Saccharomyces cerevisiae S288C: one gene and its partner. Each later gene encodes a partner of the first gene's protein in a complex. Links are inferred from orthologs where the notes say so. Each region holds a gene or a part of one and is shown on either strand. Other genes may lie near its edges. The genes, in order: BRE1 and RAD6.

Region 1 (4,759 bases):
TTCAAAAATCAATGACTCCCAAAAATCACTTAACAGCACTTTTACTATTTCATCGCGGTCCTCAATGGTTACGTGCTTCCAAATATTGAAAAGGCATAATAAAGAAACAGTCTGGCAGTTAACATTTTTGGTCCTTAACATACTCAAAAGCCCATTGTACCACGACCTCCATTGAATGAATTTCAGAGAAGGTAAACTTTCAAACTGGAAAATAATAAACTGGAGAACCTTATTGTAAATGACGTTCGCTGCAATATAATCGTACGCTGAAATAGTGGAGACATAGTCTATCAATAGAGACTCATGTAAGGAAAGCATATTTTCCAGGTATTCCGGATGATTTTCTTTAAGAATGCATCCTGAAAGGCTTCTAAGACATTCCCATAATTTGATTGTCTTAAAATTAGAAAATACGTAATCATTAATCCTTTCAGATGTAATTAAAGCATTGCTACTATTCAAACTCTTGAAATTTGGATGTGACTCTGTCACATTCTCATTTGCTATCCTTGGATTCGGCGTTTGTTTAATAATCCGCGTGAATTTATTCAAATCTGAATTCAAGAATCTAGTGGTTACATGCGTCAATAAAATTTCTGAGCCAGGTATGCATGACAATGTCGATTTTTTAATTCCTACATCTGAATCAGAGAATTTCATAAATTGAAGTATGATATACCAATAGTGCCAATAAAATGACATAAGTACAAAATCATTTTTAATATAAGAAACAATGATCTTAAAAAATTTAGTATCTTTATTTTCAAAAGCTTCAGTGCGGATCATTTGTCCCTGATCGTCGGTGAATTTATATTGTCTCTTCTTCCATGAAAACAAAGATGTTTGAATACTTGAAGAGATTTGAGGAGAAACTGTCAATAACAAAATTGTATCGAAATGAAAGTCTTCTGGTAGATAAAAAAATGCGTAAGCATTTAACTTCCCGATGAATGCTCGCAGCAAGGAAGAATATTTGTTAAGGTATTGCAGCTTCTTGTCGTTTATAGAGCACTTGTCATCACTATTTGTACGTTTAAGTTTTTTGGAGTTTTTAGAAATCAAAATCAACTTGTTTGTTATGCAATGAATGGTCAGCAAAAGATGATGTGAGTATATTTCCATGTCTCTGGATGAATGGAAAGGCAATATTATTAGTATGGTCATAATTTTGCTGAGGCACTCGAGACACACGGAAGTTAGTTCTATGCTCAAGCTCAATTCAAGGGCAGTATCTATTTGAAGCGAGGTGTCAGAATTTAGAAAGTTTAAAAGTGTGACCCACCATTGGGTCAAAACATCTCTAACCTCCAGTGTACAGTTGCTTCGTGAAGAATCACACCATTGTCTTAGAACCGTTAGTAGTTTCAAGCGTAAAAAATTTGAGGAGGATTTGCAAAATTTTGTATTTTGTTCTTTATTACTAGCTGACTGATTAGCATTGTTTATGAAATTGATAAACCTGTTCAACGATTGAAATAATTGAGTTTCATAATTGTCCATCAAGAAGCCATCTTGAGACGTAGTCTTTAATCCACATTCATATAGTTGATTATGTATGGCAGGACCCATGCTTAATGAGCAATATGATCTTTAGTGCTACAACAATGCGTATATAGCATACGAAGCACAATCGAGTTCAGAATTGTTTCTCTACCCACGAAAGATAATATTGGGAAAATCACTGGTGAAATTCTGAGATCGTTAATTTCAGTGGATTCAAAAAGAAAGAGCAGATCGACAATAGGCACTAAGGATGTCTTCTAACTTTGAAATGAAGCACCAACTGATCGTACTTTGATCAAACCATCGTTATTATATAAAAGTGACAAAAGCATTTGATCACGTGATTATAATCACATCCAACGAAACTTTCTTAAAGAAGGCGAAAAAACAAAAAAGAAGAAGATTAAAAAAAGTTGGATGGATGTTGTTTGAACGGTAAACTAACAGAGAGCGCCCCAAGGTTTTTAACAGAGATAGAAAGGGCTTTCACCGTTTTTATGCTAATCGTGCTAGCTGATAATAATCAGATATGACGGCCGAGCCTGCTACTAAGAAGATCAAGCTAGAATTAAGCGATCCTAGTGAACCGCTTACTCAATCTGATGTGATAGCGTTTCAAAAAGAAGCTTTGTTTAGATGTATAAATCGTCGAAGAGTCGACTTTGAAGCCTTGCGAAAGCAATATGAACTTTCAAGAAGGGAGTGCATAGATGTTTCCCGCAAGTTGGCAAATATTATGGCGCTGATAGTAACTTTAGCTAGGTTTATCGAAACATTCTGCACAGACGCCAACGAGAAGCAACTATGTAGGGAAATAGCCCAAGGCGATGAGACGTTGATAGTTCAGCGCAGTGATTCTTTCATGAAGCTACTGACTAAATATGGGAAGCCAAACACGACAGATAGTAATACTAATAGTAATGCTTCGGATCATATTCAAGAATTAACAACGGAGTTAAAAAACTTGCGGAAAAGTAAAGAGGAGCTCTTTTATGAAAATTCGCAATTGACAGAGGAGATTTCTGCTTTGAAGGAATATTATACAAATATAATTCGCAAGTATGATAGAGATGAATCCTTTACTATAAAACGTGTTTTTAAGGAAGATAAGACTGATGCTGTAAAGGAATTACGGGAAGATGAAAAAGAATCTAATGAAAACAATATAAAATCTGGAAATAAAGACTCCTCTGCAATTAATGGTGATAATACATCCAAAAAATCCGAGAAAGGTGATGAACTTGTGCAGGCGGAGGATGAACGAAAAGAAGATGCTGAGAATGAAAAATTAGAATTGGATCTGAAATTTTCTGATTTACGGGCAGAGATAAACTCCTTGAGTTCCACTATAAAAGACCTTGAAAATATCAGAAGGGAAAACGAGGAAGAGCTCATCAAAACACGTTCTGAGGTATCCAATTTAAAAAAGCAACAGATAGCAGCAGCAGACCAAGACCCAGATTTCAAGTCATATGACCATGAGTCCCTGTTAGCAAAAATTCAACATTTGACTGAACAAAACGCAGAATTATCTGAGATCAATAGTTCCTTTTTATCAAAATTTCAAGTTTTAGCCAAAGAGAAAGAAATATATACGAAGAAGGTCCGAGAAGAATTCCAGAAAAGTCTCGACTCCCTAGTAGAAATGAACAGTTCATTGGAAAAGGACGTTGTAAGAATAAGAACGGCTCGTGATGATTTACTAAGCAAAATCGCCATTTTGGAAGCTGAAAAATCCAAGACTGAAGTGTTGAGCGATTTACAACATGCAATTGATATTTTGAAGGAGCAATGGACAAAAATTGATCAAAGATCAAACGATACAAAATCCTCGTCGACTCAAGATGCATTAATAAAGGAAATTCAAGACTTAGAGAAGGGTTTTAGAGAGTTATCCGACTTAACTCATAAAAAGTACTCTGAGATTATTAATCACGAATCTGTTATATCCAAGCTTACCGTAGAAAAAACTAAGGCTGATCAGAAATATTTTGCCGCGATGAGGTCCAAAGATTCAATTTTAATTGAAATCAAAACTCTTTCTAAAAGCCTCAGTAAATCAAATGAGCTTATTCTACAGTTAAAGGACTCTGATAGATTGCTACAGCAAAAAATAGGAAATTTACATAAACAACTGGATCTTTCTCAAAATAATGAACGCAGGTTAATTGATTCCAGTAAAACAGAGACACTAAAAATAATTGATTTAAATAATACATCCACTAAACTGAAAAGGTCATTAGAAAAGCTACAAGAAGAAAGTAACAAAAGCATTGCAGATATGACGCATCTAGAAACTAAATTAAATGATACAGAAATAGAATTGAAGCACTTCAAGCAGAAGGCATCTCATCTAGAATCCAAGTGTGAAAAACTACATGATACATTGTTCCGTGGTAACAACAAAAATAAGGGCTCGAGCGATGAAGCACTCGTAGAAGAACTAGCAAATTTCCGTACACTTGTTTATTGTTCCCTGTGTTCTAAAAATTGGAAAAACATGGCTATTAAAACCTGTGGCCATGTCTTTTGTGAGAATTGCTGTAAGGAACGATTGGCAGCGAGAATGAGAAAATGCCCTACATGCAACAAAGCATTCAGTTCCAATGATTTATTGACAGTGCACTTGTAATACTAATTATTCTACCACTTTTCCACTGTTTGTGTTATATCCTCCACATACATATACATATAATATATGTAAATCTAGTTTTGTCATTGCTTTTATTTTATTTGCGTACATCCTAGCCTAACTTCTGAATCAAAGAGTGACGTCTACTGTCGCATGTTTCCAAAGAAAAACTCTAATTGTACATATCATGCTGATAATTCCTACAAGCCCTAAAGATTCATATAATACTTTGGGCGGCCGGGTGAGAGAACGCCCGCGACCTGAAAAATTTTCTGTGATTTTTTATTATGACCTTAATCGCGCTTGTTCAAGATATATTTTCATCACAAATGTCCATACATATATATATATATATATATATATATATATCAACATTTGTAACATAACTCTTCTACTGCAGTCCTTGGGGGGAACAAGGATAATAGCAGAATCATATCAACTGGAAAGGACAAGAATAGATTTATAAACGGGTGATAAGATTAATGGTATAGTGAGTTCACTCTGCCGATAGTTCTTGTCATTTCTTTAGCTTCTTGCTGCTCTATGTTTTGCTGAAAGCGAATGAATTATGGACTTTTAATGATGAAGATTTTAATTTTCCGTTGGTCTATTAAGAACAGAAGT
Region 2 (3,307 bases), on another chromosome or scaffold:
ATGAAATTTTTTGTTAGTTTAAGGAACAAATGGGATTTGGGTCTGTTAACACTCATCAATAAAGAAATCTCCGAATCATTTCAAGGAGAAGGTGAGCCTGAATTAGCATTCATCAACATTTCCAATAATACTCTGGGAGAATATATAGAAGAGATGAACATACGCTCGTAAACTACATAGTAAATTAGTTGCTCTTCTCTTTTGTTCCCGAGTAAATCGAATTATTCTATTAAAGGGAAACACTATGTTTTGAGTCATCCAAACTTTCATTTTTTTCAGATTTCATCGCCCGATCGTCAAGGAATAAAAAGGGAAGGGATGGGATACTTGCATTGGAACCCAGAAAGTACGTAAAAGATGAAGATCGTGAGAGATTGGTCAATGGATAAATAGTTCTGTAATTATGTCTAAGTATCAAATTAATTGCATAAGATACCGGCACTTTCTCAGGACATCTAATATCTCGCAGATCCCTGATTTCACGAAATACTGCATTGGTCCCGTAAATGAAGAATTGGCACCTTACATCATGGAAACCATGAAGGCATACCCTTCAAATTCCGAATATATCAATCCGCAGCATTACTATCATAATAGAACGGTATTAGTAGAAAATTACTTAAAACGAAGTCCAAATCCAGTATCATTAACGCAGTTAGCGCAATATTATGACGATTCTACCAAGCTGACCAGAACCAAGATCATCAATTCCGGGAAATTTGTAAAAGAAGAACTGGTAATTAGGATCGCGCATAAATTAAATCAATTGCAACAACTTCCATTTAATGTTGTGAACAACTTCCATTTTGTTCAAGTTTATGAGTCATATTACAATATTTTTGAAAGCTTTAGAAAATATCCGACTATAAGAACTTTAGAGGACGCTTCTCAATTTGCAGATTTTATCAAAAATATGCTAGAAGGCTTCAATACTCTAAACTTACCACATTTGATAATGGGGGCTTTAGAATGTACAATTTTGGATCTTTATCCTCGTGAAAAAATGGACCAACTACTATCTGATCTGTTAAGAGCTCGAATATCAAGAAGATTGATTGTAGAGGAACACGTCAGTATCACAGCCAACTACACTAGTGGTAAGGAGGAAAATACCTTGGTATTGGGTGATATTTTTCAAGAATGTAGCGCTAAAAAATATTTATTGGAAGCCAGTGAGGAATCTCAAAAATTTATCCAAGATATGTACTTTAAAGACATTCCCATGCCAGAATTTATTATCGAAGGTGACACTCAACTAAGCTTTTACTTTTTGCCTACACATTTGAAGTATTTGTTAGGGGAGATCCTTCGAAATACTTACGAAGCAACCATGAAACACTATATTCGTAAGGGATTAGAAAAGCCGGAACCAATCATAGTAACTGTAGTAAGTAACGATGAATCCTATTTGTTTAGAATTTCAGATAAAGCTGGGGGCGTCCTCCATGATGATGAAAATCTATGGTCATTCGGTAAATCGAAAGAAAGGGCTCAAGAATCCCTAAATAATTTTCACAAGTTACCTGGTTTACAAACAGTATCTATTTATGACGAAGTACATTCCCATACTAAATATAACTCCAAACTGAAGTCATTGCAGTCAATAACATTAAAACCGTACATGCACACGTCGCTAGAACCAATGAGTTATCCTAGCATCATAAATGGGCACATCAAATATGAAACTCCCCTAATTGAATTGTTAAAGCGGTCTTTTAGATACAAGCTTGGGATTGGGTTAGCCATGTGTAAAGTGTATGCTGAATATTGGAACGGCGACCTTTCATTGCATTCAATGCCTGGATATGGTACCGATGTTGTATTAAAATTAGGCAACTTGATGAAGCATACGAAGAAACTACAATTAGATAAAGTGTGAGCTAACCATGCTTACACTATATACCAAGGAACAAATACATATTCGGAATATTAGTATGGTGACTACATTTCCCGGATTAGTGTATGTATATACAAAAAGGCACCTCCGGGTAGCCGGAGTAGAAAGCTGGAAAAATAAAAATGAAAGCGAATGGAATGTGTAAGAGAAAAAAAGGAAAGAACTATCAAGTTGCAGAGTTGATGACATAAATAGTAGAGTGGAAAATCAACGAAGATCGAATTCCAAAGATTATTTTTAGGCAGACAGAGACTAAAAGATAAAGCGTCATGTCCACACCAGCTAGAAGAAGGTTGATGAGAGATTTTAAACGTATGAAGGAAGATGCCCCACCGGGTGTATCTGCTTCACCATTACCTGATAACGTCATGGTATGGAACGCCATGATTATCGGGCCAGCCGATACTCCATATGAAGACGGAACTTTTAGGTTATTGTTGGAGTTTGATGAAGAATATCCCAATAAGCCACCGCATGTCAAATTTTTGAGTGAAATGTTTCATCCCAATGTCTATGCAAATGGTGAAATTTGTTTGGATATTTTGCAGAACAGATGGACTCCAACATATGATGTCGCATCCATATTGACATCCATTCAAAGTTTATTCAACGATCCAAATCCAGCTTCGCCAGCAAACGTTGAAGCTGCAACATTATTCAAAGATCATAAATCACAGTACGTCAAAAGAGTTAAGGAGACGGTAGAGAAATCTTGGGAGGATGATATGGACGATATGGACGATGATGATGATGATGATGACGACGACGACGACGACGAAGCAGACTGAGAAAAATCAAAAGAATCTTAATGATGAATGCCGAGCCGATATTATGAATTCGATTACCTTTTTGTTCAATCAAATATAGGGCTTCATCGTGAGTTTCTTTCTCTATCGATCCGTTTGCTTTCTATTCCTCCATCTTCTACTTTATACCGTAAAGAAAATTTAATAATGATAGAAACATTGCATATAAATAATATACTAAAAAGAAACACTGCTCTACCATAAATTTCTTTGGAGAAAATAACGTGAAATGAGAAATAAGGACAATTTGTTATCGGTTATAACTGCCGATACCCGTATCTTTTGTGTTTGATTCAAGGAATACTTATTTAGAGTAGAAAGAATATATTTACTTAGATAACTTAATGTATAATATATAAAAAAAATCAAAAAAACAGGAAAAAAAAAAATCATGAGTGAGTGGCACTTTTAACTGCAAGAATGAAGAGTGACCCCATTTTTTTTTATTCTGATATTACAGTACTCTTCTGTGCGGGCAGCTCCTTCGTTTTTTGTTTTGCACTTTCATCCAACCACACATATATGGAAACAAAAACGACGAATGAAATTATAGCTTTGCTGAATGGATCTATGCTCTTCCAAGTAAACCTTTTATCATCAAGAT

Evidence for each region.
Region 2: the proteins of BRE1 (region 1) and RAD6 are in contact, whole or in part, in a crystal structure (PDB 7W75), measured with the Kluyveromyces lactis proteins. The link is inferred for Saccharomyces cerevisiae S288C from one-to-one orthologs. Residues at the interface, in XP_451665.1 of Kluyveromyces lactis: Ser17, Glu18, Pro19, Leu20, Thr21, Gln22, Val25, Ile26, Phe28, Gln29, Ala32, Leu33, Arg35, Cys36; in XP_452450.1 of Kluyveromyces lactis: Met16, Lys17, Glu18, Ser20, Met39, Ile41, Asp50, Thr52, Ser148, Trp149, Asp152, Met153, Glu154, Met156, Ala157.

Annotation. Positions count from the first base shown.
Region 1 is NC_001136.10:323,423-328,181, reverse strand, and holds BRE1 (E3 ubiquitin-protein ligase BRE1), read left to right. Parts: upstream 1-2,032; coding exon 2,033-4,135; downstream 4,136-4,759. Other genes in the region: AHK1 (Ahk1p), read right to left, coding at 1-1,569. UniProt on the Saccharomyces cerevisiae protein: E3 ubiquitin-protein ligase that mediates monoubiquitination of histone H2B to form H2BK123ub1 in association with the E2 enzyme RAD6/UBC2.
Region 2 is NC_001139.9:391,820-395,126, forward strand, and holds RAD6 (E2 ubiquitin-conjugating protein RAD6), read left to right. Parts: upstream 1-2,166; coding exon 2,167-2,685; downstream 2,686-3,307. Other genes in the region: YBP2 (Ybp2p), read left to right, coding at 1-171; protein kinase PKP2, read left to right, coding at 404-1,879; GEP7 (Gep7p), read right to left, coding at 3,147-3,307. UniProt on the Saccharomyces cerevisiae protein: E2 ubiquitin-conjugating enzyme that accepts ubiquitin from the ubiquitin-activating enzyme E1 and transfers it to a E3 ubiquitin-protein ligase.